2 linked regions of the Styela clava genome follow. The protein of the gene in region 1 purifies or fractionates together with the protein of each later gene. This does not show direct contact. Links are inferred from orthologs where the notes say so. Each region holds a gene or a part of one and is shown on either strand. Other genes may lie near its edges. The genes, in order: serine/threonine-protein kinase stk11-like and COP9 signalosome complex subunit 4-like.

Region 1 (17,441 bases):
TGGATGAAATTAGATAATGATAATTAATGGATGATGAATAATGAATAAATACTGAATGATAATAAAGATAATTAAAATAAATGAAAGTGCAAAAAACTAATTAAACATCTCCATATGGTAAACAACTCCATATGGTATTCCATATTCATAATATCTGTGACACAGGAGAGCAACCAATGTAGCCAATTTACCAATTATTAAATACATACTGCAATAATATTATAGAACTGTAACTATATAATTCATACATCGGGCCATAGAAGACAAAGAAAGATTTAAATATGAGTAGTAAATCAATTCTAAACCACCCCTCAGATTTAAAATCCCATTGGAATGATAATAATTAAATTGGGAGATAGGATTCGAACCACATTTTTTGTATGATCGTATAGAATCGAAGGGAGAAAAATAAATAAAATTAATTACCAGAAGTTGCATGTTGTCCAATGTAGTGCATGGGGGAATCCCATGTTTTTGGAAATATGTTTATCTTTGCAATGTTTATTGTAAAACAGTACTTTTGTAAATAAACTACCGGTACCTAATATATAAGTACATCTGTACTATATATGGCATTTCTGACCACAAACACTGCTAATGATTGCATAATTGTGATGCTAAGACATGAGGTATTCCAACTTTAACACGAATACCACTACATTAAAATATATACTTACAGTGTGACACCACTTGACCATATATCGACTTTAAAACCAGGAAAAAATTCGTGTCCGTTTGCAATTTCAGGAGGTTGAAATGCCGGAGAACCTTGAGAAGTCCGACACTTATCATCTTGTGAGAACATATTCAGGGCCTGAAATTTATTGAAATGAAAAATAGCTGATTGAATAAATAGCGACGCCCGGTTATGCAAAACGGATTGAGGCCCAGTCTGAGTAGAAAATAAGGATAATGAACAATAATACAGCCTTTACAATTTATTAACTTCCAACTCTGGTATGTACAAAAATAACAAGTAAAGTAATTTTATTTCGAGAGTCTGGCTAAATACACTAATTTATATCTGGAATAAGCATAGGCTGTACGGAGAGTACAAGCCCCGCTATGACCGCATAGATAGCAGTGGCCGTAGCAAAACTTCTGAAAATTCTGAAAAATCGTAGCGATCTAAATACTTAGTTGTGCTTAACCTAATAACATCTTGTATCTATGTTCATTACATGCAAGATGCAATTGCCAAAAAAGCAGGTGATGATGACAAAACAATAAAAGCTCTCATTTTTAACCTGAATTGGCAATGGTACAAAAAGCGGCAGCTTTCCACATTATTAAAGCTGTTCTATTAGCTTTCCTCATATGTAAACTAAGCTTTACCACATTCCACATTTAAAACATCAGTTCATCACAGTTTCTACATTCCATAGGCTACATATTTTATCCGATTATCCAACCACAACCAACAAAATAAACATTGATATTGCTATCATATACATACTTCTGCGACTCCTAAATCTGATATCTTTAATGTAGAATCACAGGCGATCAATAGATTTCCAGGCTTGATATCTTTATGTACAATATGCTGACTGTGCAAATAACTCAAACCAATGATAAGTTGACAGAAATAGCTGAAAGTAAAAAAAAAGAATTGAATAAAGAAGGAAACTACGGAATACCATTATTTTTATATGAAATTCTTGTATAATGGTAAATAAAAACGATAACATTTTTAAAGGTCACACCTTATCTCTATCGCATCATGGTACTCAAATACCATGAGTTTAGGCACTTATAGGTACCGTAGGTGTTAATAGGCATAATTTATCAGTTTGGGAGTTCCACGATAAAAGTGTGAATGTCAAAAATGGGTACTCCCGTAGTATGTGTACCAGGTTAGGGTTAGGCCATAATTTTATTCAGATTTTCCTTATTTTAGTTCTTTACGAGTTCAGGGTCTGTCTGTGTTGTTGTTATTGGTATGATATTCTTATTTTTTCAGATCTCTCTCTCTCAAAGTGGTACAAGTTTAAATACAACAGTGGGTTTTAACCTAATTTTCCAAAACCAACTTTTGATTGATTAAGTTGAACGTTTGTTTTTAAAGGTGAAAATTGCAACTACCAGAATATATGAGACTGATGAGAGATATATTTTTATATAATACCGAAAATTGCAGGATTCTAAATCTCATTTTGACAATTAGTGTTTTGAGATTCATTATTTCATAATTTTCACTGATATACCCAACTGCTACCTTTGGTAGATTATGATATCTAGCTAAAAGCTGAATGCAAATTACTAGAGTTAGAATTTAAACAAAATCATTACAACTTCATGCCAATATAGAACAGGTATATGGTATTGATCACGTATGCACCACAAATATAGCTTTGAGAATACAGTAATAGATTAATGGTGCTTTGAACAGACTGAGTACGATAAGTAGCAGGGACAGAGTATGTTTCGTTGAATAGAAAAATTTTGGAATAAAGTCAAAACAAATCTCTTCAAAAAGTATTGCTGGGATGTGGAATTTAAATTTGAACTATCAATGATTTTCCAAAAACAAGTTGCAAATGCATGCACAATCTTTACATTTAGAAAAAAAATGAAAACATTTAGGAAAATTCATGACGTATTAATCTAGACCAGATCAATTACGATTGGTGTTGCAACAAGTTTAAATTCAAGGTTACTGGGTATTTCAAATTTTGGAGTGATTGAAATTTCAGATTTGATATTTCTACAAAGTTGAATCCACAGATTTCAGTCGTGAACTGAAATGAACTAAACCAGCTCAAATCACTTTGAACCTCGGCTAGGTGACCCCAGTGATGAGTTTAACACAATAATCATTACACCCTGGTACACACAAGTAATTATTTCTTTTATCACTCCTCTAATCGAATCAGCAGATAGAACATAAAAAATTAATGAAGCCAATTTAGTCATGACCAATCAAATGTAACTAATTAATTTCCCTTATGAGAATAACACTTTGGTGATGCAAGACTTGATACTAATGAGGAAGGATAAAATTTGAATCCAGGCACTTGCATGCAATCAATACATATTTGAAAGAGGAAAATATTAAAAATATTTATTGATTTTTAGGTTTAACAGTTAAGTAGAACAGAGATATTGGATAACCACTTCATGGGCTCAAATTTTGTTTCTCTAAATGGAGTTGTAACTTGTTATAAATATTCAAAAATCAATTACACATATCAGTAAATACAAATGTACCAGTAATTAAATTTCTAATTTGTTATTCAAGTCCCAGTGCAGTAAGTTATCAGTGTGCAATCATTATTCTGTCAAAATAAACCATTGATGAATTACCTACTCAATCAATGGGGCATATACAAAATGGGAACAGACAGAAGTATGATGAAACTGAAAAAGAGTTCATTTCAAACATATTCCAGCAAATTGAAAATGATAAGACGAAATGAGCAAAACCGGATGGCCATACCCCATATATTACAATTGCAGCTACCGATATTAAAAAGTTAATAGTGCAAGTCATTTTCTGCATTGGTGAGATAATTATCACGCAATTAAACTTTTAAACTCGAAACTTTAGACCCAGTACATAACATTAAATGTACATCTGTTAATCAAATTTATATATTTCACACTGTTGCTTTGAGTAACAAGGTACTAAATACTTCTTCTATCTCTATCTGAAATGTATGGGTAATACCGAAATATGTGACCGAAGTGTAACAAATGAATTTTGACCTTTGTTGAATACAATAAACAGCACCAAATATAGCTGGGATTTTCAAAATGAAGAAATAATAATATTCCGTTACTATCTTGGTTTGTCTTAAAACAGCTTTCTAGATATATACAGTAAGGTGAATATGATTATTAAGTCATAAAATTTATTCTTATTTTCCATATGAATGAATGGCGTAGTACGAACAAAACAAAATAAATCTAATCTTACCAAATACCAAAAAAAGGTTTAGAATAACACATGCGTTATGTCATTCATGTTTTCATATAAAAAGCTTAAAACCAGGTAAAACACCTTATACTTCTTACAATATGATACCATTATCTAGGCAGGTTTTTTACCTGGTTAATTGGTAGCAGGTTTTTAGGCTAATTGTGATATCATAAGTTGAAAAACCTGATTTTTGGCATACTGAAACATTCCATATATTGAAAGATCTTATTATAAAAGCCCTGAATTCTAAATTGGAAATGTCGACTCTTGTAGTGAAATTATAACATTTGCTAATTTTGAATATTTTAAAGAACTGTTATTCTGTCTGCGGCTTGTGTGGCTTTGAACAAATAAGTTTATCCAAATTTCAATGAAAAATGATAGAAAATTGATCTACTCAAGCCAGAAAGACAACTAGTTTCCTACCAATCCAAAAATATTAACGATAAATCACTTGATTGAAGATGCAATACATAATTTTTTCACACTGTTAACAGCATGCGATTTATCTAACACAGATTCAAAGGAATTCAATCAACATACTTGTGGCTTTGCCAGACAGGGAATTTCTTTTGTGGTGCGCTGTCAAGCATTTCTTGTACGTTTGCAACACAGAATTCCATGACCATGTATAACTTTTGTTTTTCCTTGTTGTACATAACTTCGACAAGTTCAATAACGTTTTTGTGATGTAGTTTGTGCAAGAGCTCTATTTCCCTTCAAAATGAAAATTTTGGTGTTATTCATTTTTGATATTTGGTAATACACAACAGTTAATGGTTTAATGGTTCATACATTCCAACTATTGTTAAAAATGCAGGTGATAGATTTCTGATTTGAGCACCGACCCATTCGGTGGTCTATTCATGCCAACCATCTCATCCATGGCATAATAAATTGAATGAGCTCTCCTGAACCATGAAAACGATAAACTTCACAAAAAGACAGTAGTTTCTTATGTTATATTGAAGCGGCATGTTTTTCGACCCGTTTTCCATACAAATGTGGAAGAACAGAAAATTTCTTCATTTTTAAATCTTTTATACGACAATTATTCACATATTTCGCTTCGAACAGGGTCGTCCTGTTGGGTGCACTTTGAATGTGTCAGTAATTTATCTTTCCGAATTCAATACCCTATTTTAAAAATATTTACCGGTAGGTAGGCTCAATTATGTACTATGTCTGTAATCAATTATAGGTCCACGAAGCCGCAAACGCTCAAATTCACATTCCACATAATAACAAATCAATTTTATTTAGCAGCAAAAATATTTGCCCATGTTAAATTACCGGCACTGAATTTACCAAGAGGAGTAAATATTTGCGGATACAAGACATGAACAAAACAAACAGGCGTTTGCGAACAAAAGCAAATAGGTTCAGGATACAAAATAACAACATAACAGAAGATTGGCCAATTCAAATTTTAATGCTAAAATAATTATATAGATATTCCAATTTATTTCAAAAGTATAAACATAATATGTCATTTTTCATTAAAAGAAAGAACTTAGAGAAGGTTATAAAAACGACTTGACCTAAAAGTCTAACAAGTGAATATATTGTCGATAAATACAACTAAAACATGATATTATCCTTTTTTTAAATTTCAATTGATTTTCTTGAAATTTGCTCAAAGCAAAGTCACACGCACAACCGCAGAAATCGAAGAGTTTAGTCTGTAAGCGAAGATAATGTCGACCACTAAAATGCCAAGAGCTACTGAGACTCCCAGTAGAAAGAATTATGGTGTATTATTGTACATTGGTAAACATCGATTAAAACGAAAGTTAAACATTTCATGTCAATACGATCATAAAAACAGCCATGACAAGATGAATTCCACATAACTGCTCTGAAATTCATCAGTTAATTAAATATTATGTATGCAGAAAGAATTTGAAAAAAATAAATTCAACTTACTTTTTTACGTTCGCTTCTCCATTTGGAATTCTTTTCAGCTTTCGTTTCTTGACGATCTTCACTGCCCTTCTACATAGAGTTTCCGTGTCCAGGACTTCTTTCACTTTTCCATATGATCCTTCACCAAGCATATCACCGAATAAATATTTTCCATAAATTTTTGCTTGTTTTCTTTGATTGAAAATTAAATCCGCAGAATCAACTCTGTTGAAAAATGGTATATTATTATTAGTTATCAATGTATCAATAAGAAAATTTAGATTATGACATGTTGCTAGTCGAGTAGTTATCTATCATTTTCGCGACAATAGCTAACCGAGGGTTTCTAAATCTGGGCCCTCATTCCTATTGGGGGCCACGATTGAAGCACGTTTAGGTTAGGTAGTATTAGCAATTACTAAATTGATTTATTGTAGATTAACTGTGATTTGTCTAATTATTTTACGTAATGCGTTCATTCTCTCATTTGTTGGCATTGTGGTGTTAACATGGCGAATAAATAACTGGTCATGGATCTGATCATGAAAGTTTAAGAACCCTAAAATAGCGACTTCATTATCATGGCGATAAGTTTAAACAAAATGTATATTCTGCTGAAACCATGAAACTTGCTCCCTGAAGTGAAATGGTTTTTCAAAGTGGCTCTGCCCAAATTGATCTTTACTTGTTTCAGAATACTCGGTAAAGTTTTAAAACCCACAGAATTTCCTCATATTGTAATTGGATTTTCGCAGTTGTTCTTTACGAATCAATTCTCTAGCCGAAACATCCACCCAAAATCATTAGGATTATATATTCTATAAATCATTTAAAGATGATCAATAACAGAATAGCAGGCTCATATCCCCAAAAGTTATCGCCAAGTTACATACGATACATATTTCAATTTAAAGAAATATAAAGTATATTTGCAAAGTCACTTTTAATGATTGCACTTTAAAATTTAATATTTACATATTCCAAATATACCTTATTAAACGAAAAGATAGAATTACTGTTTCATAAAATTTTAGCTCATTGTTGAGCTGTCAAACTCTTTAAACTATGATATTTATACACATACTTTTATATAAATTTAAAAATTTATATTGTTAATTAGAACTTCATATAAGATATTCACACACTTTTTCTGCTGTAATTAAATCTGCGTCGTGTAACAAGCTTATAAATGGCTACAAATGGCTTATACACAGTAAAGACTGTGGGCATTGATTATGCACAAAATAAATTTAGCATCAGAATTTTAACAATGATGTTTGCCTGTTTTACCACAAGGTTTTTTTTATCTACTCCAACACTTGAATATGAAGTATTCATACAAAAATGGTCATATCCACAAAGATTGTCACTTTGTATAATAGGTTCTCAAACACTTCAAACTCGAAACACATTTCAACAATACAAACCACATTGAAAAAAAAATTTCACTCTATCAACAACTAAGACAAAAAAAGTTTCTATTTGTAAACATTCAATAATCCTTACATTATGTGAGTTTATTTTTGTGCACATAAACGATCATATATCGCAGCTGAATGTCCGATATAGTTAGCAGTACTATTTTCTTGAAAATTTTATCATTTTATGTCAAGTTTCAAATACAGACAGATAAAAAAATTTTGGAAATTAGATGGGTATTTTGTGACCCATTCGAAAATTATCCCTAATGCGCCGCGACACACAATTGGGAACCACTGCTTAATAAAAATGAATCAGTAATACAGCAAATATACAAATGGTAACGTTTATGCGCATGCTAAGAGTCATTCATCATTATGTGGATCTCTGTACACATCCCTGTGGAAATACTAATGTTATGCAATTGCTGTTTTTAATTATGGTTCAGGCAATGAGACATACCAGGTGATGATAAGACATTGAACCACAAGATTAACATGAGTGAAAATAGATCTATAGGGAGTTGAAATGATCCAAATGCTGTTTCTTTATCGCTTGAAATACTGACGACATAATACTGTATGGGTAGGAATGCACTATGTCAATAAATGACATGGAACAGAAAAAGTAGATACAATAAATTGCTTGAAAAGAATTTACAAATCGTTTAATAATTACTAATGTGAATTCAGGATTGGCTTTATCAGATTAGCAAATCAACATGGCAACATCGCTTCATTGAACCCATTGGTTAGAAGTGCATGAAAAGTATATTAGACCAGCGTTGCCAATTAGCATATTATATGTCAATGTCAAATTCCATAAGTTTAGAATATTTTGGTAAAGGTGTCTGCCCCATGATTTTAGGGTGGGTGGATGTTCATAAGGTTGGCATATTCCGAGATATTTTGAGGAGCTATGACATGCAATTTGGCAAATCGTCTGAAAGTTGGAATATATTGAGGTAAAAGATTACAATTTTCACAAATGTTCGATATAGTACTACCTCATGCAATATGCAGCAATTCCCTAGCACGAATTTAGCACAGTTGTTTAACAGCAACATTGTTACATCATAAATGCAAATATGTACACCAAGAAACGCTATTCATAAAATAAAAATCCTTTGTTGATATTTCCTTTTTAACACCCTCTTATTCACGCCATTTTTATTTACAGTGGATACATAGTAATTAGTATAGATAGAAATTTTGCCGAGATCATCTATGTTCCTAAAATCCACAAGGATATGTAATGCATAAAAGTAAAGCTAAAGAAGATATTAGGCATTTTAATTGGCAAAACAGCAGGAATCCTAGATAAGGTTTTATTGATGACCAATACATGCAGACACAGTGAAAAATAATTGGTTATTACAAATAATTCCTATATATGTGCATATTCATAATCAAATAAACAATTTATTAAACCAACTCAATTGACCTTGTAAAAAGGGCTCCATGATCTGGATTTATCCACATAGTATGTTCTTGAACGTCTGGTCGATATTCATCTTCCGATCCACCAACGTCAAATGTAGCACCTGACATCTGATTTTCAATCCTGTTATCAAGAACTGCAAGTTCTCCATGAGACATTTCACTTGCCAGCAGTCTAACGGCAGCTACTGACAGGGAATTTCAACTTATTGAGTCATTAACTTTAATTGGTATTGAGATGAATATGATACTAATACGACAAAAAATGAAGCATGCTATACACTGTAAACATTGAAAATATAAAAATAAATGGTATCATATTGGACAGGTCAAATAGGCTACTTGTAATATTCTGAAACTTGTAAATGAACTGAAAATTGGCAAAACTTTATCACAGATGTTTCACAGAACATAAATAATGCCAGTCAGTTAAAAAAAATGTGAACCTTTCTGTCATACACAATGTAACAAGCCCATAATAGCACTTGAAAAATTAAATTATCACAAGGCGTAAAATGTCATCACGATGTACAAAGCAGCATCGCAATATGCTCTTATGCATTATTATCAACTTGTACACCACCATATACATAACATGGAAATCATGCCCACCACCTAACCCAGGGCATAACAGAATAGGCGGACAATCCCGAAAAGATTCCAGTCCTTCCAAACTATGGCAGCTGCTTAAATGGGTTTAATGAGGCATGAAAATCGACCACACAATGGCTTCATTAATCAAAAAATAATGAATATTGATGACAAACTTGCTATTCTGTATTGCGCTCACTTACAATCAATACTCTTTTAAATTCCGAATGGATCTATTTCTGTATTTTGTGTCAAATTATAACATGAGCAAAAATGGCAAATTAGGCAATAATGAAAATAACTTTTTTGATTGCTGAATGTTAATATTTCGAACTTTGTTCAAAGTATATATTTTAGATATCCCTATTCAATCAATAGACATCCCTTTATGAATCAAACAACAATGGCGGTATAGATAGCATGAAGAATTTGGTCTGGATAGATATGTTTGTTCACTGCATAATCTGGCAATAGCCAGAAGAGGGTGTCAGTAAATCATTCTCAATAAATGGATAATGCAGTCCCTTTTTCTACTATTTTAACATTGCTGAGCATTGTACGTAGTTTAGGATGGCAAAGACTTAACTAGAACTAAGACAGTAAGACTTGACTAACCCCTAAAGTCTGAAAGTAAACCCGCAGTAAAATATGTAGATTACTGAATTGAAATAACCAAAACTTTCCCAGATTGTAGCAGCATTCACATATCGGGCACTAGCAACAATACCTCAAAACAGGCAGTTTGGAAGGCAATGTGAATGTTGTCAATAGGGCTGGGCACTTCGAATCGAATATCCGAATCGATTCGAATAGTAAATTTTCAAATCGGTTCAATCGAAATTTTGATTCGCCGCCATCTTATTTTTCTTTCTTTCCGTCAGTGGTCGAGGTGAATTACCCAATTTTTTTTTTGAAGCCATAATTTTCAATACAATTCTGACATATGACTATTTTCTTATCGAGTTATTGATAAATAAGTGCTTTTCATTGTGTGTGAACGCTCCACAATCTGTCTTAGTGATTTATTCATGTTTTCAGTAATACATTTGTTGACAGAGCCAATTACAATAAAAATTAGCATATAATTGACTCCCAAGTATTCGAGATTCGATTCGATAAAAATATTCAATTCGATTCTGAAATCATCAGGTACGGTATTCGAAAATGCCCAGCCCTAGTTGTCAATACATGATTGAAACCCAGTTTGATTTACAAAATAGATTGACCCCAATGCATGTGTGAGGTTAGTTAATCAGACTCATATTTACTGCTATTCATGGGATTTACACAACCCACTGACTTATGACTGTATGACTCAATGAAGAGGACTCAACTTTTGACTAGAAGCTGTTACTGCTGTACTGTGTTAGGAAATTGACTCAAATTGCTGAATTGGATCCCAATTTGCCATTCAATTATCAGATTCCTACGCTATATTCAACAATGATATACGTATACAGCATCTTGAGCATTAAGCGTGCATACTTCTCAATTACAGCACCCTTGTCTCAATATTGTAATAAGAAAATTACGATCTTATCACTGTATAGACTACTGCAGTATTGGTAAGCCCGATTCTGTGATTAGTAAATAACCGGTAATCTTTACAATTTTAGTTTAAAGATCTTGAGAATCAGAACTTACGCTTTTTAACGTACACCGTAATACAGTAATATAAAACGAGGTCTCGGGGCGGCTGCGCCTACTGCCGTGCCCACGTCGAATTGTCAAGTACCTACGAACGAAACGCTGCAGGATCGCCGCAAAAAGCTATAGCGACGCATGGAGTCACGAACGTTATTACCGCTGCGAGGTGGGGCTGAAAAGGCTGAGTGAGTTTCTGATGAAGTAACGATAAGCGCTATCGCTTCCGCATCAACACCAACCTACAACACAACACTATCATAAATTCAAGCTAAAACATATAATTATTATTTACAGTAATCATTTTATCATCATTTCGTGTGTTTCAGTAGGAATGACGGAGGCCACCAATGGCTTCAGACTCGTGAATACACTCTGCTTACGAAGAATTGGATGAAATAGCCTACAAATAAGAAAATAAAACAGACGCGTCGGAAAATCCAATTCCAGAAACACCCAGAAGTTGCACTGAACTGGCCAAATCGGGTTTCAAAATGGTAAATAAGTCAAAACTTCCAAAATTCGTCTTCATAATCTTACACGTGTTTTTAAACATGCTCTATTTTAGAACAGATTTTAATCATAACAGTCGCAACGTTAGTTGTTGGTCGCAGCAATGACATGAAACAATGTCATTTAATGTCATTGGTCGCAGCTATTCGTTCAAGTCGAAACAATGTCTCGTTCGGTTCCTCAAAATAATATTTATATATTGAAACTACTGATTAGCGAATATTTGAAATTTGAAATTTTCGATTTGTTATAATGACAGTTCAAAAATTCACATTCACATTTAGCAAGTTTCTTTTTTTTAACTTGAACCATAACTTCTATCATTCAGTACAAGGTCGTCTAGAACGGTTCAGATTAAGGAAATGGCAGTTTAAAAATTAGAGCCAGAGTTAATTTTTCCTATTTGAGCATTCAAAAGAATCAACATTAAAGTTTCTGAAAAATATACGAATGACAAGAGTGAATTGTAAAGCACAGATTGCTCCGTCATCAGGTCACAATATCTTTTGATAAAGAGATAAATAAAAAATAATAGAAATATTCTGCACTTTTCTAGGTTATTTTGATATTGAAATACCAGAACGAAAACATTTATTAACTATGATATTCACGCAGCATATACAATTATCAATGATGATACGGAAACGAGGTAAAAACCTTTGACGAAGCTATAAAAAAGAGTTAAAAGTGTTTATCTGTTTTTTTTATTTTACACAAAATTATTTTGAACCTACTGAACGCAAAACCTGAACTCAGCTTGTATACCAGGTTAGGGTTCAGGTTGTGCAACATCTTGGTGCGCATACTTCAGGAGTACCAAATTTTTTGTTGTTGTTGCTAAAATGCGCTCTCCCGTTACTGAAAAGGCTAGCGTCATAAAATTATTTGAAACTCACACGAATCGTACCTCGCGATTACTTCAAGAAATACTACAATCCTATTCTACATTAGTTAGCCAGTTATTTGATTCATATGCATCGATATCATGATAGTGGAAGCCGTAACCGTTCAATCGCCATGCGACGGCAAGGAGTCTATCTCTAGCAATCCTCTCGCGCATGATTATCTCCCAGCGGGATTCGATTCCGCGAGCTGCAGCAGGGTTGTCAGAGGTGTGATTTTAAGCGTATTTCTAACGCTCGACACGAGACGCCATACCGCTTAGTCATCGTGTGTACTCTGTACTTTATACTAACACTTCTTTGGTCCGATGAAATTCGAATACTCCGTTTTCCAAAGATTCTCCTATTGGATAACACTGCTTGTGTATTATTAGACCGCCTCATTGAACGGAGGTGAGGTTGTGAACAAACAAACGTACAGGTGGTATATTTATTTTTCGATAATTATCAATAACATTTTTGGACTATAGTAATTAACTACCAAGGAGGTGGAGTCGGTTGAGATATACATTTGACTCGGAATTTAAAAAAACTTTGGCTTCCATTCGGGAATTTAAGTTTCGCCTGTCTCCTAATTTGTTTTGCGAGAATGTCCTCTAACTTATACTGTGATTGCTAATTTGAATCAATATTTTTCTTGCGCTATTTTCATTCTTTTCCAGCGATAAGTTTTTTCACAATTTTATAGCTTTCCGATCATATTTTGATTGGACAGCAGATCTAAATGTCTTCAATTTCCACAGATGTTTATGATTGTTTAAATTTTAACCAACACACAGGATACAAAAGAGTGAAATGCTTGTAATTATATATTTTTCAGACATTGTAGAAATTTGCGAATATTATGGTGTCAAGAATACAAGGCTAGACCAAAATTTGATATACCAGTATGGAATCGGTAAAACAACTGTGCAAGAAAATACTAAGAACCTATCACAAGAAATTTATGGGTTAAAGCCCATAGGTACTAAACAAGTAGAAAATCCCATAGCTCAGCAATTCACAGGACAGTGAAACATATCCAGTTTAAAATGTTCTTTCAAAATGGTTGTATATAGGAAATTCAAATGGTAAATATAGATATCACAAATCTAGTTTTCAATACGTCAAAAACCGCATTTTGATTTGAAAATAAGTTGTTCATGCAGACTTCATTTATTGTTTGAAACCAATTAGATAAAATATCTAATAAATTTATGCTAAACATACTTCAATATGTCTAAAAATATAAATTTACAATAGCTTCTAAAATTTGATAAAAATATTCACAAAGAAATGTTAGATTTATTAATGGAGTTCCAGTGTCACATCATAAATCTCTTGAAATGAAAAATTGCACATTGCCAATCAAGTCCTACAAATATATTACCAATCAAACAACACAACACAAATTTTCAGTTTTTAATTTGGGTACCACAATGTTACCAAGAATATGGTCGAGGACAGAAAAGGTAAGTTATGAATTCCATGTGCACCAAACTTCAATATATGATGATTATCAAGAGGAAACGAACAGAGCACTTGATTTTGCCTACCGCTTTTTAGATCGGGCCAATATAGAAAAGGAAATGGACTCATCAAACAGCACCACTCTGCTATGAATTTAAAAACCAACATAGATTATGGGCAGGAAGCCTATATTTTGTTTCAATTTGAAACAATTTTCGAATCCACATAGGTTGGTTGTTATAGTTCCATCATTTAAATCCATGCATTTGAAAACTTGAAGATGTGAAAGCATAACAAAAAAGCAGCAACAAGCAAATTTGAACTGGTCACGTGAGTTGTCATATGGGGTTAGCCTCGAGTAAAAAAGTAAATTTAATCTCCCTTATTAAATCAGAATATATTTAACTTTTACAAAACAGAGTAAAAGACATGCACACTCCTAGTTATAACTTGCGTGTTAGAGTAGTTGTGACAAACAGAGAAACTGACTTTTAATATGATCCTTTAATAAAATTAAGCACAACAAATAGCATCCTTTACAATTTCATATGGATTATTATATTCAAGTTTAAATCAAAGAGTGAGGGTGTGGATTGTAGAGCATTGTAATATTTGTGAATTTTGCACCCTCGTTAAATGAGTTCACATCAGCGTTTGTGTGATGATTTGACAGATGGAGAACTACCAGTAATACAAATAATGGGGTTTTATACAAATAGCAGACAACATAAAAAAAAGTACTGATGAATGCAGGGTTGCAAGATATCCCGAAAAAAATAGTCCAGCATCCAAATCCTAGTCACAAACTGGTTATGAAAAAATATACAAAACAAAAACATTAAATAAACATTACTTTTACAATTAACTGTACACAACCAAGATGTTGCAGTGGAAGGATCCGAATAAATTAAATAAATATTAATTATATAAAAAAGTTTATGATCAAAGTTGTTATACCTTGGTGGCACCATAATATTGATTAGTTTTACTTGTTAGGAGCGCTTTCGCATGACATAATGTTTTTAGGCTTAATTTTGCATTGTAATAGTCTAATCCATTCAGAGGATCATCACAAGCCATGTCATCTTCTGGTGAGGTTTCCATCGAATTCATATTTTGAGATGAAAATTGGTCATTCTTCCCAACCGAAGCACCCTCCCCAAAGTCACAGCTAACTCTTGAAATTTGTTGTGTGATGTCCAGAAGTCCATCTTGTTTAACTGATATTATGACCCATATAATATCACCAAAAGGAGTCCCTGTGGTGTTATACATTCTCCATCTCCCTTGATATACACCGGGTTCCACCGGACTTCTTAAATTAATTGAAATGTCTGTTGTTTGTCCGGCAGGTACTGTTGGAACTGAAACTGAATCAATTGTTCCCATTTTTTCTCCGCCTAAAAATCGAAGACTACACCCCGGTGGCCATTCCTCTTTCCCGGAATTTTGCACTCGCCATGTTTTAACAAATGTTGTATTTGGAGGTACGGACTCGCCCTCACCGACTGTAACATCAAGTATAAATGTCATTGATGGCAACTTACTTTGCGGAGCACCTTCAAAATCATAATATGCTCCAATTGCGGACTGCAAATTCCAGTTCGTCATGTCAAGAAAAAATGCACATCCAGCGGGATTTAACTGAAATCCTAAAAGGCTTTGAAACTGAGAAATCAGAACATCCTTATCTGTGGTTCCCATTGCTTGAAATCGACTAAGAAGTGAGTTTTCGATGGAGTCCATCTCACTGTCAGAACTGACCTCCATTTTACTGTCACCTCTAGGATATAGTTTCTCTGAGAAATCAAATAATGACATAAGAATATGAACCATTAGGTCTGTGGAAGTTAATACAATTATTATAGTATTTGATAACTTTTTGAAAGCTTCCCTTCGGCAGAATATAAATTTTTTGTTATGATTGAAGTATTCCATATTACAAAGAATTATTTTGATTAGAATATAAAGTGGGATAAAATTATATAAGTTATGTATCCACATATTAGAATCGTAAAATAGGTAAAACAGCTCTAAGATTATCATGATGATCCAAGACTTTTTTTCCACTTTGGCTGATCAGTTCAACTTTTTAGAGGCAAATAGACATACAAGAAAAACATATAGCCTACTGATATTGATATACATGTATACTGGATATATAGATGACTACTGATAATGTTAATAATCGAATTTTATTAATTTGCTCACATACTGTACAGATGATCATCTCTGTTGGACTTATGTTAAATTAGGTTCAAAAGTGATAGAATAACAAGTAGAAAAATAGGGGAATACCGTACGGTACTACAGGATCTAGCAAAAGCAAGCAAATATCCCATTTACATAGACTAAAGCTGTAACTGTTTTTTGGCCAGAAAAGAAAAATGCACTGAAATTTGAAGTTTATTATAGTCCTCGAACACACAGAAATATACATGCTGTTCCAAGAATGGAAATCAAATTAAAAACTAGAAAACGTGATATCACCACTGACCACTGTCAGACTGTGAACTCTTCAATCCGGTAATTAATAATAATAATAAGTTTATTTCGACTCCATAATCAGCATAACAATACATTTGACAGATAAAAACAAATAAATAAAAACTGATTATGAAATCAGGGGAGCAAACGAAACCTTAGATAAGGTTTATAACGTACAAAATATAAGATGGGAGGTTTTGCCAAGAGGAAGTGGTACGTGTTTACTCACCTAAAATTATTAAGTTATTTCACACACGCTCACATGCACCCACCAGCCACACACACTCAATCACTGAGAAGTTATTTAAGTAAGAATAAAACGCGATAAATTTAGGGTATACTATACAGTAAACAAAACAAAAAAAAAAATAAATACTAGAAAAAGAAAAAAATTATTTGCCACACCATATTGATAATTTTGTAATGGTTGCCATTGTCAAATTGATCGATCATTTAATCGTTAATTAAAATATAGAAGGGAGATTCGATTGAAAACATATTGCCAAGCTGATTATAGTTGGAGTCAAATGCCAAGTTGCCCAACCAAAGTTGCCAGAATTGGGTGCATGAAGATTCCCCAATTCTGTGATTAAACAACAATAAATGGGTTTAATTAAAAAAAAACATATCTGAATTTATACATAAAGAAGTTATGACACCGATTCTGCCTGCGTTCATAAACAGTTCCGTAACATAGAGACATACGTAGTAACGTGACCAAGCTAGCCAGTTGTCGCTTATTGTTCATCTCAAAAAATAGTGCAAAGAAATTAGTTAACGTTAATTGTGTGAACGGAGTCGCGGGGGCCCCGATAGGTCTTCACGTGGCGACACCTGCAACGCTGGTTCAGACTTAGCGTAAAAAGTAACTGAACATGGTAGGCTACAACTATTTGAAGGTAGTAAAGCGGTTTCATGAAATCGAAATCCAATAATGCTGAATTCTATAAATGTGAAAATGCGACTCCAGCTCCTACACTGTAGCCCTTTGTTACTCACCGTAAAAAGCCCCCGAATATCACCCGATATCTATGGTTTTAGCAATGAGCATATATACCCCATTGATTTTAGTGAAGAAGGGACTATGAAGTACTTTTGTGCAAATTTCACAATTGAAAAAAATTAACTACTAACCAAATTGCCGGTTGAAAGTGGATTGAGAAAATAAACGAG
Region 2 (16,894 bases), on another chromosome or scaffold:
ATTGGGACAAATTTTCTAGGGTGGGATTCACATATTTATCCCCATAGGAAAGTCGATAAGACGGCTTAATCATATGGCGAACATTGGGTCTTTTGTCCGGTTATCATGTCGGGAATGGGATCGGGTATAGTTAGCCAGTTCTTAGTTGTCAGATGCATGATGAACTTGATGGTGAAGGAAGCCGTAACCGACCAACATCTACGTGAATTACCCTGCGGTGACCAGGAGTCCAGCAAACCTGCGTAACTAACCCCGCATGTGATTCAAACCTACGAAGTGCCGATCCTTGAGTAAGTCCGCAGCAAAAGTCATAACGAAACAATTATTGACTGAGTATAAGTCGCAATGGCATGAAACCAGGAAACTTGCAACCTACCGGGAGCGTCGACTGTGGTTTCGTATGGTACCGAACCCGTCCATTGTAATGGCACACAAGACAAACTGGCAGATAGATACGTATGTCATGCGACGCGCAAGTGCTAACAACTCGTGAAAGTTGGAAACGGAATAGGCAAGGTTTCCCTTTGAATAAATGTAAGTTTAGAGTTGAACAAAAATATGTACACTTTGTGTTCGATAAGCTCGTAACCCTTCCTGTCGTTAGTTGTTGTTAAATTCGCGGCCGAAATTTTACCCATCAATCCTAAAAATTTTCGGGTTCAATAAATTTTCAGAATCTTATGTACAAACCAACAAAGTTTTTGTCAAATCTCGCATTTTTGCATTGTTGGCGGGGGCTTTATACAAGAGATCCATTCTCAGTCAGAATAGATAAACGATAGTTTTGAGTTCCTCATACAACTTTTCTTTTTTTTTCTGGAAATTTAACGGGTCCGTGATGAAAAAGATTTCTAAAAAGAAGTAATATGTAATAATTTTTATATTATCAGAAAAAAGGGTTCTAATTAAATTCGTATTTATAATATAGATATTTTTTGTTTTTCAAATTTAGACTAATCAATGAGCATATATACAATGAGTGGAAACTTGCAAAGATTTGCTCATTTTGGTATTGTTCCCTGCATTTTTACGTCGTCCAGCTAAATGGTTCGTTGCATATTAAGAAAACGCATTGCTCGCTGCCAAAATCCCTTGCTTCAGCCAATGAGCATATATACGCTCATTGGACTAATTCATTAACAACAACAACACAATAGCGAAACGCATCTATGGATCCATTTCGTGTCTAATAATTGTTTGAAATTAAATGTCTAGGCCAAGTCTAGGTCTAACTATGCGGATATTCGAACAAATAATTATTTGGAAGGTCTGACTCCAAAACAGAAAGGATTAATAGGTTGATGTGTTCAGCCGTGATGTTTGTTAATTCGATATAACAGCAAAGGATCAAGAGTCTGCCTCTAAAAGGTTCTATTTTCTCCGGTAATATATTACAATGGAATAGGATTTACATATTTATTTACGTGAACCACACTACGGCGGCGAGGAGTCCAGCGATCCTCTCACACATAACCATTCCCGCATGGGATTCGAACCTGCGAAGTGCGAACCCACGAAGAGTAATCAAAGGTGCGGTGGCGGGCGTATTCCTAACGCTTAGCACGGTGAGCCACTCGGCCGCGCCAATAAACTAAGTCACATCAATGACATTTAACAACATGATGCGCAACTCCGGCATTTTTGTCCGAAGATCGTATTCAATAGCACGCTCCAATGCACATACTTGACGAGACGAAAACGAGCGGATGTGTGCTGCTTTCAAGGCGTAGCACAAATGGTGTTCGTGCCTGCTTTGACAATTGTTGTCGATTTTAATGATATTTTGGAAAATTGAAGGTAAAAAGAAATCGGAAAAAGGTAAGGTAAATACTATTGTTGTATATCACACCCGGACATAGCACTGTTAAGCCAGCTTTTGTCAAATACTACGAAGTTATCAAATCAATACGGTACGTAGTTGCCCATTTGCCGAAATTGCATATTTACTTACCCTTTATGGTTTCAAATAGTTCATGCACCTCCATTTAGATTTTTCTAATCAGTGTAGAAATATATACTCATTGCTGTAGCATACTATTGCTCATTCACTTTTATTTGCGTATTGAATCAAAGGGTTAACAAGTTCACCTAACATTTTACTCATACCGGTCTATATTGTATAGTATGATCTCTCAAGTATTTAGAGCCACGAATGCTTGTAATTTTCTGACTAAACCCTTTTATTAGTTGATTTATATACCAAATTCAGTAAAACATTTTTTACATTAAACATGAGATATTGGATTTATTAGCTTTTCCATTCTAAGTCATATAGACTGCTTTATTTATTCTTAACGAAAATTAATAAATCTCCTCTCTTTATTCAGATGTGAAAGTTGTGGACAAACCTGTCTAAGCATTGTGAGACTCCTGCAGCACAAGAGGCAATAGCAAAAATAGTAAGTATATTAATCAAAAAATTAAGCCGACATAAAGCAAAACTTTCAACTATTCGTCTAATCTCAATTTCCTATTATTTATTCACAGGACATCTGTAGCAGAAGGGGAGATATCAGAAGAAGTCTGGCGACATATCAGTGACAGTGTGATTCCAAGAAATATAATTAGAATACTCCATAAATGTTTGCAATAGAAGAACAACCTATGAAGGCATGCAAAAGCATTTGACCCTCCGGTAGAGTTGTATATGGCCCCTACAACCTGCAAGGCTTGAGGAAAATAACTAAAAATTCTAATGCGTAAGATTGCATAAGCGGTCTTCTTTGTGAAAAAGCACAAAACATGCCAGGCATACTTAAAACAGCTTTGAAAAATGAGGATTACGGGTCACTACACCTATGTTATATTTGGTTCATCAACTTTTGGTAGTACTATAGAAAAAATTCAGGAAAGGGTATAATCATGATTCATGATAAAATACTGGTATATATTTTGGACAACTTCAATCTAGACCAAACTCGCGGCCCCAGAGAACTTCCAGTGCGGCCTCGAAAGCTTAACAATAATTGTAAAAGTATTTTGGAAGTTTTTTTTATCTAAATGTAACAGATTTTTCAAACTTTTTGAAGTGAAATTGAATATTCACACAGAAAACAATTTACTAAAAGTAGTTTTGAAAAATTAATTTTTTTTGTTCACATTTTAACCCATTTAAGAATACACATCAAGCTAGCAAAAGAATACTTGAATAAAACACTTGAGTTATTAAATTAAACGCAAAGTACATGAAGAAGGTGGCATTTTCGAAGAAAATGGGAGTTGCAATATTTCTGCATTTCACAAAATTCTCTGAAGCACATTGTTTAATTTGTCATATTTCCATCAGTACAATGAAAAACACAATAAGCTCAGCAGTCAATATGACAAATTCGAAGACCAACTTCGAACAGAAAATTTCCATGTGTTTGTATATTAATATAATTATACAACTTTTTTGTTACTAAATATCAATAATAATTCAAGCAATCCTATGCCATGCAATGTGGCGCGAAATGTCTTGTCGAAAAAATCTGTCATTTGTTTTTTTACTGATCTATACATGAAATGATAAAAGTAACTTTTTTGCATTACTGGAATTAATTAAACATTCGCAAAGATCCAGATTAACCCATGATCATGTGACCTCGTTAGTTAGAGTTGGTACTATAAAATTATTTCATCCTGGCTTTAGTATGCTGGTGACACAAAAAAGATGCCAAACGTCAAAAAACATTGAGTTTATATTTTAGATATTTTGTTAATTTTAGGTCCATATATTTAGATTGAGTCATTTTTTTAGTGTATGTATTATTCTTTCCTTATCCAAAGCTTGTTCAAAAATGATTTTGATGGTTGTACATAAAATTTTATGATTTTTTGTAATAAATACAGTAACTTGCAATAATAGTGGAATGCAAATATTAACATGAAATTGCATTTGAAATTAAAGAAAATAATAAAACTTAATCCAACTGTTTAGTTGCATCCTAATATATGCCACAAACTAAAACTATCTTGAAAATATCTTTCAAGTATACATTATCAAAAATTGTTTGCGGCACTTTTTATAATTTCCAACATGCAATGCGGCTCTCGAAAACCCATGAGTTTGACACCACTGATCTATTCTAGACAATTCAAGCATTGCTTTGGGAAATAATATCACTTCAATTGAATTGAAAAAAAAATTTGCCGTATTAAATACGAAATCGTTGCTATCATAAAGGTAAACCAATTCAGCCACTGGGAATATATTGGCCTTCACAAAGCAATGGAGGCAAAATTGAGAGTTCATGGGCTATGAACTTTTGTTCTTTTCTTTGTCTTGAACTTTTCATACTCCACAGCCCCTAATAATTTTTTTTTTAATTTTAATTACCGTGTGATGGTCATACATATCTTTAACTTGTATTTTCTGTAATGATGTATTATCTCAATGTGTCAAACTTTTAATTAGTGTGCATATTTTGCTTCCAGATGACATAAATGTATTGTCTTGTTTATTACCTCAGCTTGGAGTATTGACCAAAAAAAATGTGCCAGTAAATTCTTTGTTATAATCAGAATTCACAATTAATAGGAATTATAAACAGCCACCAATCAATGAGAATTACATGCGAAATTCCTCACAATAAATTTGTCTAACAATGTGTAATAAATTCACCTACTAAAGCAAGTTCGATAGGTGCAAACTTTGTGTTATGGAATTGTATCACAGCACCGTTAAGAGAAGTAAAAACAGTTTTGCTGTTTTGTGTGACACATCTTTAAATGAAATTTCAATGTTTAAGCGCAAACATTAAAATTACTAACTTTGAACTTTGTCATTATCTGCAAAATGTCCCACACAAATCTTTACTCTATCGTGTTTGTAATCTTCTCTGATAAAAAAAAGTCTATGATGTCCAGAATTACTCTTTACAGCTTGTATGTCATTCCAGCTTTCCAAGTGAGCAAAACTTCTTAGATATAGAGATTATTTTCTTTCGTTACAGGCGCAAAAAGGCAGGTACTAAACGTAAAGAGGACGCCGATTAGCAAAAGCAAGCGGAAAACGGTCGCGAAAGGCGACGAGAAATATGTGCATTGGAGCGTATCATGAAATACAATCTTTCGCATGTAGTCTTATGGAGTGACGTCAGAGTTGCCTATCATGTTGTTTAATGTCATTGGTCACATGAACAACTCGCACTTATAAGTTATTATTTTGACAGATAAAATTATAGCATAGATTGTACAATTGTTTTTCGAGTATCGCATTTAAAAAGGAACACACAATTTTCATATCACTCGTAAAAATCGCATCTTTCTTTATTATCTTACGATGTTCGTTTTTCGAAGTGGGATTTTTGTTCTTTCTCGATTATTTCGAGACTATTCTCATGACAGAAATCCATGTAAAACAGGATAAATCAGTCATATTGCTGATAATCACACCAGGATTGTGCATAAGATAATAAATGGCGGAAAGTCGTCCGCAGCGTTGCAGTCCTACCTCGAAGAGGCTCAAAAATATACCCAAAAAGCCTATATATTGATCTTCTAAGGACTCTTCTACCTTCCGAACCCTTCTGTCGATACCGTGAGCAATTACGATACCGCATTCAAACCTACAAATATATCTAGACTCCCATTAACAGCATAACAGAAGAGAAAATGTTCAATAAAAGTGAAAATTTTCGCATTGGAAGCCCGGGATAGAGACGAAAAATTATATCGAATCTGTAGGATCCCAATCAGACAGCGTCACCCATGACAAATATGAAAATCCTATCATAGTAATCAATATATTTATATAAACCTTCACGGGTCACAGCCGGATTATGATTCAACAAATTGCAATGGCTCAGCTTTAACAGAAAAATTCTACTCATTGAAGAGAGGTTTCTGATACAAAACATTATATCCATCGTGATTCGTTGCTGACTAACAAACCAACAAACTGGCTTCTAACAATAAGTAAAGTCATCCATGTGTTTTAAGTATATTTTTTGCAATGTTTCTCATTTTAGAAACTATTATGGTTCCATAAGTCCAGATTATCGCAAAAAAAAGAGTCTCAAAGGCCAAAAATATCATTCTATTACCACAGGCTTTGCGAAACAAATTGAAAGCATTGATTACTAGGTATTGCAGTAATCAAATATTGAATATAAATATGCAAAACTTTACTGAAACAATGGAATTTCAACATTGACTGTGAACCTCTACTTCGATACAAAGGGTGAAATTCTGAACGGCTTTGCACAGAGTTGAGTTAAGTTGCTCACAGCTCTTAAACTTGTAGACACATTCATAATGCGTAATCTTCAATATCAGTCTTTGGGTGAAACTAATTGTTCCATTGTTTCTGCGGCCCAATCTGGATGTGCTGCTGTTATTTTATCAACCAGAGAATTGAGTTCCAAACATAACGATTGAATTTGAGTGTCCCACATTGGTAACATTTCCCTTGCTTTAAAAATAGATGGTACATTTGATTAATTTTATTTTTCATCTTGAATAATGCAATTGACTGCATTTGAGTATATTGCTAATGCTATACGATAGCAGAGTAAAATAATATAAACAAGCTTACTTTCAAAATGGACAATGCCATCAATCTGATCAATATAACCACTCATTCTGTTTTCACTTATCATCTGTGATGCAATTTTTTCTGCCTAAAAAGCATCAATGCAAACAAAAGGTTATCACAGCTTCACATAGGTGTATGTTAACTGCAGTGGGGATGGATCAGTGTTTGGGATGTTTTCTGAGTCATTAAATCAACCAGAGTTGGACTCATATCACCATTTATCAAAGACTCAAGCCATCTAAATTAAAAGACTCCAACTTGCCATCACCTAACCACCAGTGAAACTTAACTCAGAGATTGGCTCGACTTGGGGCTTCGGTACTTCTATTCAACACTGGGATAGATATATAAATCAATATAGCTTTGAAACAGGGCTTCCTAAATTTTTAATCTCGCAACCACTTTTTAATATATAATGTTTTCAGCAACCTCTGTTTAGTCAGCATTGTTATGCAAGCGCACATCTTCTCGGGTTTTACAATCAAGGTTAGCATTCTCTGATCCCATGTATTCTCTTGAAATTGTAAAATTCATGTTTTGCACCAGTTTTAATAATTGTGTTTCCAATCAAAAGTCTAAAAAAGTACAATACATAGAGTACTATGTGTGGAATTGGTGTACTCTTTGCGCCCCCTAAAATCCGTGCACGGCCCTCAGCAGGGTGTGACAATCAGGTTGGGAAGCCCTGCTTTAAAGAATAACCTGTATTTGTGAAATTGAGCATCGTGTATAAGTGTCCAAGGTAATGTTCAATCTAGAAATCTCTCGTTTATATTATATTCTAATGACAAACAGAATAATACCTTATCTGCTGATATCTCAAGGAGAGCGCCGAGGCCCTCAAATGTAATATTGTTATACAATTTGCTGGCAGAAAGGAGATTGTGTTCAGTGACAGCACGATCAAGAATACTTGTTCCTGTGAAATATAAGTCATAACTGTATTTTATTTTTCATCATATAATTGTGAAAATATGGAGTTTCAAGGCAGAGGGAGATGTCAAAACACTACTGACTATAATCTTCAAAACCATTTGCTGAAATTCTAAATATTAAAAAAATTTTCACCTAAAATGGTTCAACACATTCATTAAAAGAGGATTTTCAAAAAAAAAAATCTCACCATCTGCTGTTGTTGCTTTTTGATGAGGCATCAACTGGTTGGCGAATTCTTCTAATTCATCGGCACGAATTATTCTGTCTAAATACATCTTCTCTAATATACCGAATGAAGATAATTGCTGACATCGTTCATCTTTGAATAAAGTTGCCAACATTCTTGATCTTAAAGATTAAAATAAAATCATACTTTCATCAGACAAGTATCGTAGTATTTCAAAAATAGATACAATAAATCGAACATAATAGCGCACTGTCAATTGCTTAGATTGGGTTTTTATTCATACATATAGCGCATCGGGCAATAAGACACAACAATACTCGTTTGGATTGTAGGCAATAAGCAAAAAGAACTACCTGATCCATACATTAGGCGCACCGGCTTATAAGGCATACAATCGAAGAAAAGATTATATATAAAGCATAACAGGGTGGTCCAAGGTTGAGAGGTCGGCGGGCCGCAAAATTTTTTGTGGATGTTTTGCGAGTCGCGGTCAGAAAAAACCCAAAATTGATCTAAACATCGCGACTTTACGTATATTTAGAAAAGAGTTTTTCGTCCTAATCAGTTTTTTAATAAGGTAGATATATAAAGCATTTAGTTATTTTAAAACTGCTCCTCGAGAAATACAGTGGTATTTTCGGTATTCTTTCTTGTGTTCGGTTTTGTATTGTCGCTTCAAATTATATTCTTTCGTGACAGATATTACTTGAAAACACACCAGACACTGTGGTTAAAAGTTGTTGTGGGTTAGGAATTGCGTTTACCTCGGTCACCTTTTTTTACACTCATTGTATGATGAATTGTTATATTTGACTAAGTTCATTACTTGTGGAAAGAGCAGGCTTGGTGCTATTGTCAAAGAACAACCAAGTTCGTCTAAGTTGGAACTCCGGACCCAGTTAAAAAAAAACTGGATTGCTTGGCTCTAAGTCAGCCGAGCCACATGGCCAACGCTTGAAAATAGAGAAGTGCTTTAATAAAATAAAGGCACAAAACAGCTCTCCAAATGAGGAGTTGCTTGACGCGAGCTCAAGGTACGAATTTTTGATAAAAAGCACGACCCATCTCATCGGCATGGTCCTGTCTGCACAAGACAATCCATCATCTTATACCGATCACAGGCCGTCATTCCCATACTGGCACCGTATTGACGTTTATAAAAACAACATTGAAACAAACATGAATCCCAACATCGGGATTAGGAAAAGGGCTATTCCCAGTTCGCGGGAATAGTTTAAAATAACTCAAAAATGTTCTGCCAAAAAATACAAATATCTGCCAATGATTTAGTGCACAACACTGCACACTAAAATTGTTCTGCGGGCCGCACAATATGTGTCGGCAGGCAGCGGTTTGGACCACCCTGAAGTATAATATGATACATAGATTATAACCTGATGGAGTAATTTACCTTTGCTGGCCAGCTGGAGCCAATATTGCACAGTGTAAAGCTTTTTCTAATGCTTTCGTTCTTTCGTCCTCATGTATCGTAGTTCGATATGATAATTCATTGTATCGTTGAGCAGCTTCAATAAACTTTCTGCGGTAATCTAACACTCTTGCATAACATACCTGAATAACATATGATTTGATATGGACATTGATATTGATATAATAACATACTTCAACTTTTCAAATTGCATTTTCATAAATTTGGTACAAGAGAGATCATAAGCCATGAGGTGTAGGGGAAAGGAAACTCAAATCAGAAGAAAGTTAGCAAGCATCAGCAAATACCAATTGAACTCAACAAAGTTTTTAATTTTTTAGGGTTCATTTAATTCTTTTGCTCAGAAAACTAGCATTGATGTGAAAATCATTAAAACTAGGGCGCTCCACAAGTATGTGCACCAGATGGCGCACAACCTGATAACCCTAACCTGGTACACATATTATGTTCAGGTTGTGCGCCATCTTGGTGCACATATTTCGGGAGCACCAAAACTTGCAGTTAGGATCAGAGAAGTGGAGTTGGCGTTCTACATTCCTACTGATTATGAAGTAGGATATGGGGCCTTATTTTCAAACCTACTCGAGTCTGAAGTCGATATTTTGAATTGTACAGAGTTGGGAGTTGGAACTACGGATTTTTATAGGATGGTATCGGAATTTAAAATTCGAAAACAATTGAAACTCATGAACCATCAGGTTAAATAAACATTCTCAACAAAGTCAGCGGTTCCCAAAGGGTGCGCCGTGGCGATTTCTAAGTGCGCCCCGAAAATTAACATAAATATGTTAAATATAACTAATATATGATTGAATACTCCACTTCTGTTGTTGTATTTATTAAAAATGTTTTGTTTCTTTTTTTAAATGCTGTTTATATGAATAAACAAATAATACATTTCACATTTCTATGCTGTTTACTTTCTGTTTCATAGTGTCTGCCTTTATTGTCACGCAACAATAGAGGTAGACACACAATGCAATGTCATGAATTATCTGCTGTACAGAGTTAACGAGCATGGGTGATTTTTTTAGTATTGACTTTTTGTCTTTATTCTTCAAGCCTACACATGTTTACAATCTTCAAAAGACATAAAGTACACATATGAAAGCAGCAATTCTTTTTCGATGGCGCCGCACAAACAAAAGGTTTGGAAACCGCTGAGGTAATGAATTGAAAAGTTTTCATTATGAAAACTTGGGTTTCTTGCAATTCAAGGCTAGAGTAGGAAGTCAAGATTTCGTTCAACCAGTCCGAGGTATGAATCCGCTGTAAATTTATCTTTTTTCTTTATCTATATAGTAAGAACCTCACCTTATAATGGATTTGTAATTGCTCATTTTTGGTTTCATTTTGTAGCATAGATGCTCTATTGATATAGGTTTCTGCCTGTACTGGATCATCATCTTCCAAAAATAATCTCGCAATTTTCAAGTATGTTTCTAACTGAAATAAGAAAGTACAGGTATTATACTTAGAAAAAAGGCTAAATGGGGGTCGCAGTAAAATCTTTTCTGCACTAACTTATGTTGAAATAAAATATCAGTCACATTTGGAAACAAATGGAGGCAAGATTTGATCTTTGGTGCGAGAATTTTATTATTTTTTTCAATATTTTCTGTATTATTAAATTTTACTCATTTCAGTTCCTGGGGGTTGCAAAAAAATTAGCTGTGCCAAGTGGATTGTGATGAAGAAAGTTTTAAGAACACTGGGTATCGTATCTCACTGATAACAAACTAACCCAAGGCGAATAATAATTGAGGGAAATTTCAATGATGAAAAAAGAAAAGTCATGTTCAGACCCATAATCACAGCCATATAGTTCATTATCAACTTTTTCAAGTTACACAGCTGAAACTGGGTATTTCATATTTTGAAAGTTACCTTATAATCATGATCATATTGTTTCTGTCCTGATTCAATGTTAATTCCAACAAGAATTGTAGCTGCGTCTTTCCATGATTCTTCATCTTCATAAACTTTTGCTAAATGTTGTCTGATTTGAGCAACCTGAATAGTATTTTAAAGATGTTTTTATGAGACGTGTACCTTTATATAAAAACAAATATATGAAACCTTGATAGGTTCATGAACTTGAGTTCTTATTACATTATTTGAATTTGAAATTTAAAACATGTAGCCTACTACTACGTAGATACATTTTGCCTGCACGCTAAAACTACCCTGATGCCAGGGAAGGACACAGTTTTAAACTTCATGATAGATAACCATATAGCCAACTAAACAGAATAGGATATATATCAGTTGGTTTAAATACCATTAAAAAAAAAATTGATGTTATATTTCAAGGAGTTACTCCAGGTGTAATAAGGGTGAAAGAAAAAAATAAAAGGGGGTTCAAACACAGACTTAATTTAGAAAGGCATAGGAATGATAACAAATATTCATGCTAAACGACTGAAAATAGATTACATCCCAGTTTATATCTAACCTTTGTCAATCATTTTTCATGAACTTGATAAAAATACCTGTTCTTCGAATGAAATTACTCTTGGTTGAATTCGATCCAGTGCAAAATGACAAACTTCTTTACACATAGCATTATTAAGCTGAGATAGATGTTGGCAAAATTCTGTCATCAATTGACGAGATACTATTTGACTCACATTTTCATTCACCACTAAAAATCAATAAGAACTAAAATAAGGTAAACGGATAATTACATATAAAGGGCCTAACATGCATATATTCGCAGTACTCAAGTTGAAATTTATATTCAGCAATACTAACTTGCATCTATAAACATCTTCAATGCGGAAACTTTTTCATTATCAACCAACTTGAAGCATGCTTCTAATATGTGTTGATATCTGAAATGTATAAAAATATAGACATGTCCTGAAATATGTTTATTTATGATTGATGACTAATACACAGGCAGACAGGTGAAGGGATTGCAATAATATTTTCAAGACTCCAATGCATTTACTGTGAGCTAGCACAGTTCTTTGTCTCTGTTACTATCAGATTACCACACTTTTTCTATGGACTGAGGAAAATATGCCGTTTGATAAGCTTGAAAATTTGAGGAAAGGAAGAATTTATTTTCACAAAAAAACTTGAAAAAACAATAATGGAAGTACACATTGCAGCATTGAGAAATACACATTGTCTGTGGAGACAAAACATAACCAGAAGCAATTTATGAATAGAAAACCTATGTCATTTTATAATAATGACAGAATAGTAGAGATTGAGAAAGTTTGAGGGCATAAAAATGTAAAGAAAGTAAATCTTATCCCAACTAGCCCAAAGATAACGGTAAATATATTAATTCTATACCACCAACAGCAAAACGCAAGAAAAACATGGATTCCTTACTAGCTTAACTAGGTAATTGTATATCAGTATATTCAGATAAATATTGAACAACTTCAAATGAACAATATGCCAAGGCAGAGTAAGACAAAATTGATAGATATCATTTGAATCATGTTAATTGTGTGATTCAATAAAATACATTGCTTAGTCCAGTAGTCAGAAGATGATCACTAGTTACATTTGCAAGCATAAATTTATCTCACCTTTCAGATAAATCTCTATGTGAACTGCTGGCAGCATTATTGAGAACAGCTAAATCAGCGCGAATGTTGGCTGCCATATATCTTTTTATTCGGATAGACTTTTTCTCTTTAACAGAACTGATAATATCGGAATCAAGAACTAAATTTTTCTACATACTCAATAAATGCTCAAATCCGTTGAAACTCTCAGGACTGAAAATTTATATTTAGCAATAGAGTAGAGGGGGTGTTTTTTCTATGAAGCACTAGCAGTGACTACTGAACTGAGAAAGAGGAACGGAGGTTAATTTCCACAAACTATGCGATTGTGAACACTGGAATATAATACCGAAAAATATTGAAGAAAATTTCTGGTGTCAAAGGTCGGGGAAAATACATTTGTACAACACAGCGTGGTTGCAGTTAATGGTTGTAACTGGTTTTCAAATAATAAAATAGAACAATTTAAACAAAACTTTTAACTTTAAGTCAATAACTAATATTCCCAACACACTTTTCGAACTGAAGAACCGAAGCAATAATCGCAAAATCGATCAAACTGTTTTTGTTTGTTTTATGGGGATATTTTGTTACGTATATTTTCTATCAATGTATATGATGTCTATCATTGCTACACTAAGAATATTATGTTAATTAATGGACTTGAACCTGCCACCCTGTTGTAATTTTCAAACATTTATTGGTGCTTATTCCTGTCGAACACGAGACCAATCGCTCATTCTCTGCTGCTGGCGTATGACTTCGTCTACACGTCTTTGGTTTTTACGCGTGTCGTAATGTCGTTGACTTGGTGTAGTTCTGCTGCAGTTGGAGAAACAGGGTGTTTTGGGGGATACGATACGATAAGTTATTATATGTTTCGTTACTGTAGAAATTTTTGAATCTATCGTTATCTGTCATATATTTAAAAAAATTCGATTTATGTTAGTATAGTTAACGTTAGCCACACGACGGTGAGGTCAGGATAGGTTACGTTTATCAAATTATTACTGTAGCCTATTATTGTTTGTTCATCCTGTCTCCGGATTTCATAATCAGTTCTTATTTATTTACCAATCATTTTACTGTTATGCTGATTATGGAGTCGAAATAAACTTATACTTACAGTCTCGATTAAACCTGTAAACGTTTGCGAATTTTCGGTTGGGTTTGCTTTTTTGTACCAAGACCCCAGACTGGATTCCATGGCAGGTGCACGCCCGAGGGCGCTAGCGCTCCGCAAAAATGCACGCGAGCGAAATCAATTTTGCACGCCGAAAATTTGCAATTGCTCACCAATGTAAATCGGTTTAAATGGTTTTAAAATCAATAATCCAGTAATATAAAGATGCCAAAATATTATAACTCCACAATTGTCGACAAATACCAGCTTGCAAGATTTGGTCTGATCGAAATATTGCGAAGCAAAAAGACAATGGACCTTTCCCCAACCTTTGACCCGCGAAAAATTCCTCTCATTGTTACGTCCTTTTTTGCATCTTGCTGATTGGCCAAAGCCACGAAGTAAACAAGGAAGTCGATGCTCGGGGAAAGGTCCATATCGTGTTGAATGATAGGAAATAGGAATCCCGTGAGAATAGTTATGGACGAAAAGATCGCCTCCGCACCAATGGCCAAGTACGGCTCTGATTCAGCGTATTTTTTATACAATAATTTTACACGAATGTACTGAACAGTACCGGTATCTAAAGTTGCTCAAACACTCCCAAAATTAGTGACAAAGTATGAAAATAATGTTTGGGGTCAAAGGTCAAACGTCCATTTTGCTCTAATTTGACGTATTTTTTATCCATTAATTCTACGTAAAAACACTACCAAAATTAATGACTAAGTATGTCCATTTTGCTCTGGTTCAACGTATTTTTTATCCAATAATTTTACGCGGATGTACTAAACAGTACCGGTATCCAAAGTCGCACAAACACTCTCAAAATTGGCGACAAACTGTAGAAATAATGTTTGGGGTCAAAGGTCAAACGTCCATTTTTTCTCTGATTCAACGTATTTTTTATCCGATACCGGTAATTTTACGCGGATGTATTGAGAGGTATCTGATGTCGAAGTCAGTTGCACGCGAGTGCAGTTGTTTTGCACGTCGTGAGCTATAATTGCACGCCAGGAATTCTTATTTGCACGCGGGAATTTCTGATTGCACGCCCGATTTCTCGTTCAAAAAGGCCATGAAATCCAGACTGGCCAAGACCTGATAACTGGATAACAGAGTTCAAAATACCATATCCTATTTCAGTATTTCATCATACTAAATTTGAAACAAAAATATTATTAGCTGAGCATGAAGATTGTTATTTTCCCAAAACCTGTAAGTTAAATCAGCCTTTCAGAGTTAGTTCCAATTCTGCAATAAGATCAGCATATCATTTTCTATTCAGGCCCTTGAGTATGTGAGAATGAGAACTTAATTTAACTTTTATTGTATTATCAGGGATCAAACATGGGCATTTTCTCTACTGATTTTTATCTGTATTTATATATTTTTCTTTTTTTTATTTCCTAATTTTATTTCTCGTTTTAGATTGAATCATGATAATTCTCCAGTAATTTATGTAAGCTGTTTTCAGATTCAAATTTACTTCAGTAGGCTACTTTTTACAGTACCTGGGGGGAGGGGGAAATTGATATTTTTAACATTGTAAGCCCAATAACCAATTTGACATAATGATCTTTTTTTCCTTGTATATCTGTAACATATCTCAGTATCTTGTTTATATTTTTTTCCTAGTGATCTTGCCATCACCATTTTATTTATGTTTTTTTCCTTTGAAATTGAAATTTTTATAGATTTATATTTGAATTCAGGTATTCTCAATCATATATCTGTATATGGGCCATTCCAAGCAAATGTTAAATTTCATCAATTTATAAAAAAAAGTAATTGTGAAAAAAGTGAAAGTAATTGTTTTGTATATTTTATATCAAAAGACAATTGAAGGTTATTGGACTGCATTCATTTCATGGATAAATTTAAAATTACACCCAGGTTTTTGATAATTTACACAAAGTGGCCTGAAATAAAGAAATTTTGGACCTCCTGAAGGAGGCGCAGTTCTTACCACTTCATGGCAGCTCCTGCCACGAACGTACCACGCCGTCTCCTGCCATGGTTTTATGGCGCTATTACCGGTATATTTACAAATTCATGTACCATATTTTAGTTTATCATGCGAAATTATATCTACTTAAACCCTAACCCCAAATCCATCCAAACTGTATCCATAAGAAAAACATTCCAACTCACCAAGTATTTATCACCATCAGCAAATTAGGGGCAGCCCTGCTATTACAGCCGACCTGCCGTGGTTACGGCAGTAAAATTGGTGGTATTCGATTTGCTGCCGCAACCACGGCAGCTCGCTATTGGTTTGTGGCAGCTAAAAAGTCAGTCGCCGTGGGTTTGGTCTTAGTGGCCATGGTTTGGAAATCCCGCCATGGTTTTGCGGCAGCTGTAGACGCCACAAAATACTTGAAACTGCACTTGTCCTGAAGTGTGCGCACCAAGATGGCGCACAACCTGAATTCAGATTGTGTACCAGGTTAGGGTTCAGGTTATGCGACATCTTGGTGCGCATACTTCAGGAGCACCGAAATTTTGATATAATAGGCACGTTTTGTGATGAATCGTAACATGAAATGTTTGATTATGTGGTACAGTTATTTAATTTCAAATACAGAAATAGATGCACTGAATGCGCTGCTCCTAATGCGCTGCGTGCAATGAGACTTTTAGGGTACCACCACTAATGGAACTTAAGTCAATAAAGCCTAGGTGTTTGCAGTGCTGTAGGACATGTCTTCATCTATCTAACAATTTATTACCAGAATTTTAAGAGATGATAGAGGGTGCTGTTCCAAAATGGGGCAAATGTTCTGTAGAGTCATGCCGGTAGAGTAACATACATTGTGCCCATTATTGGCATGGATCTACAGTTTTACATTACGGTAAGTTACTTATTAAGCAACTCATAGAGGGGTTCTTCAGCTACTGCACCATCAACACAGTAAAACGGTAATGCATGGTGGATTTGCTGTCCTGTGGAGTCTCGCTATATTTTAATATATATTTTATATCCACTAAGTAAGTCTTGTATGTAAGTTTTGTGCAATTTTGTTCCAACCCCATAAAGCAACTGATTGGACAATAACACAAAACTTGTAGCTGGAAATGTAAAAAATAGGCTATTGCATCTAACAACATGCAAAATTTCTAAAATTGTCCAGTAGCGTCACTTGGAATAGCC

The links.
Region 2: the proteins of serine/threonine-protein kinase stk11-like (region 1) and COP9 signalosome complex subunit 4-like purify together in Homo sapiens (affinity purification with mass spectrometry; 4 studies listed by BioGRID and IntAct, with this or other methods). This does not show direct contact. The link is inferred for Styela clava from reciprocal best matches to the Homo sapiens genes STK11 and COPS4.

The regions. Positions count from the first base shown.
Region 1 is NC_135250.1:8,662,369-8,679,809, reverse strand, and holds the start of serine/threonine-protein kinase stk11-like, read right to left. Parts: upstream 8,968-17,441; 5' UTR 8,842-8,967; coding exon 8,687-8,841; intron 6,050-8,686; coding exon 5,846-6,049; intron 4,637-5,845; coding exon 4,463-4,636; intron 1,590-4,462; coding exon 1,457-1,589; intron 815-1,456; coding exon 678-814; intron 1-677. Other genes in the region: protein ILRUN-like, read right to left, coding at 14,733-15,617. UniProt on the Homo sapiens protein: Tumor suppressor serine/threonine-protein kinase that controls the activity of AMP-activated protein kinase (AMPK) family members, thereby playing a role in various processes such as cell metabolism, cell polarity, apoptosis and DNA damage response.
Region 2 is NC_135260.1:11,651,064-11,667,957, forward strand, and holds COP9 signalosome complex subunit 4-like, read right to left. Parts: upstream 12,935-16,894; 5' UTR 12,716-12,934; coding exon 12,639-12,715; intron 11,925-12,638; coding exon 11,845-11,924; intron 11,735-11,844; coding exon 11,583-11,734; intron 11,104-11,582; coding exon 10,978-11,103; intron 10,537-10,977; coding exon 10,405-10,536; intron 9,213-10,404; coding exon 9,052-9,212; intron 7,802-9,051; coding exon 7,641-7,801; intron 7,437-7,640; coding exon 7,321-7,436; intron 6,603-7,320; coding exon 6,518-6,602; intron 6,395-6,517; coding exon 6,255-6,394; 3' UTR 5,713-6,254; downstream 1-5,712. UniProt on the Homo sapiens protein: Component of the COP9 signalosome complex (CSN), a complex involved in various cellular and developmental processes.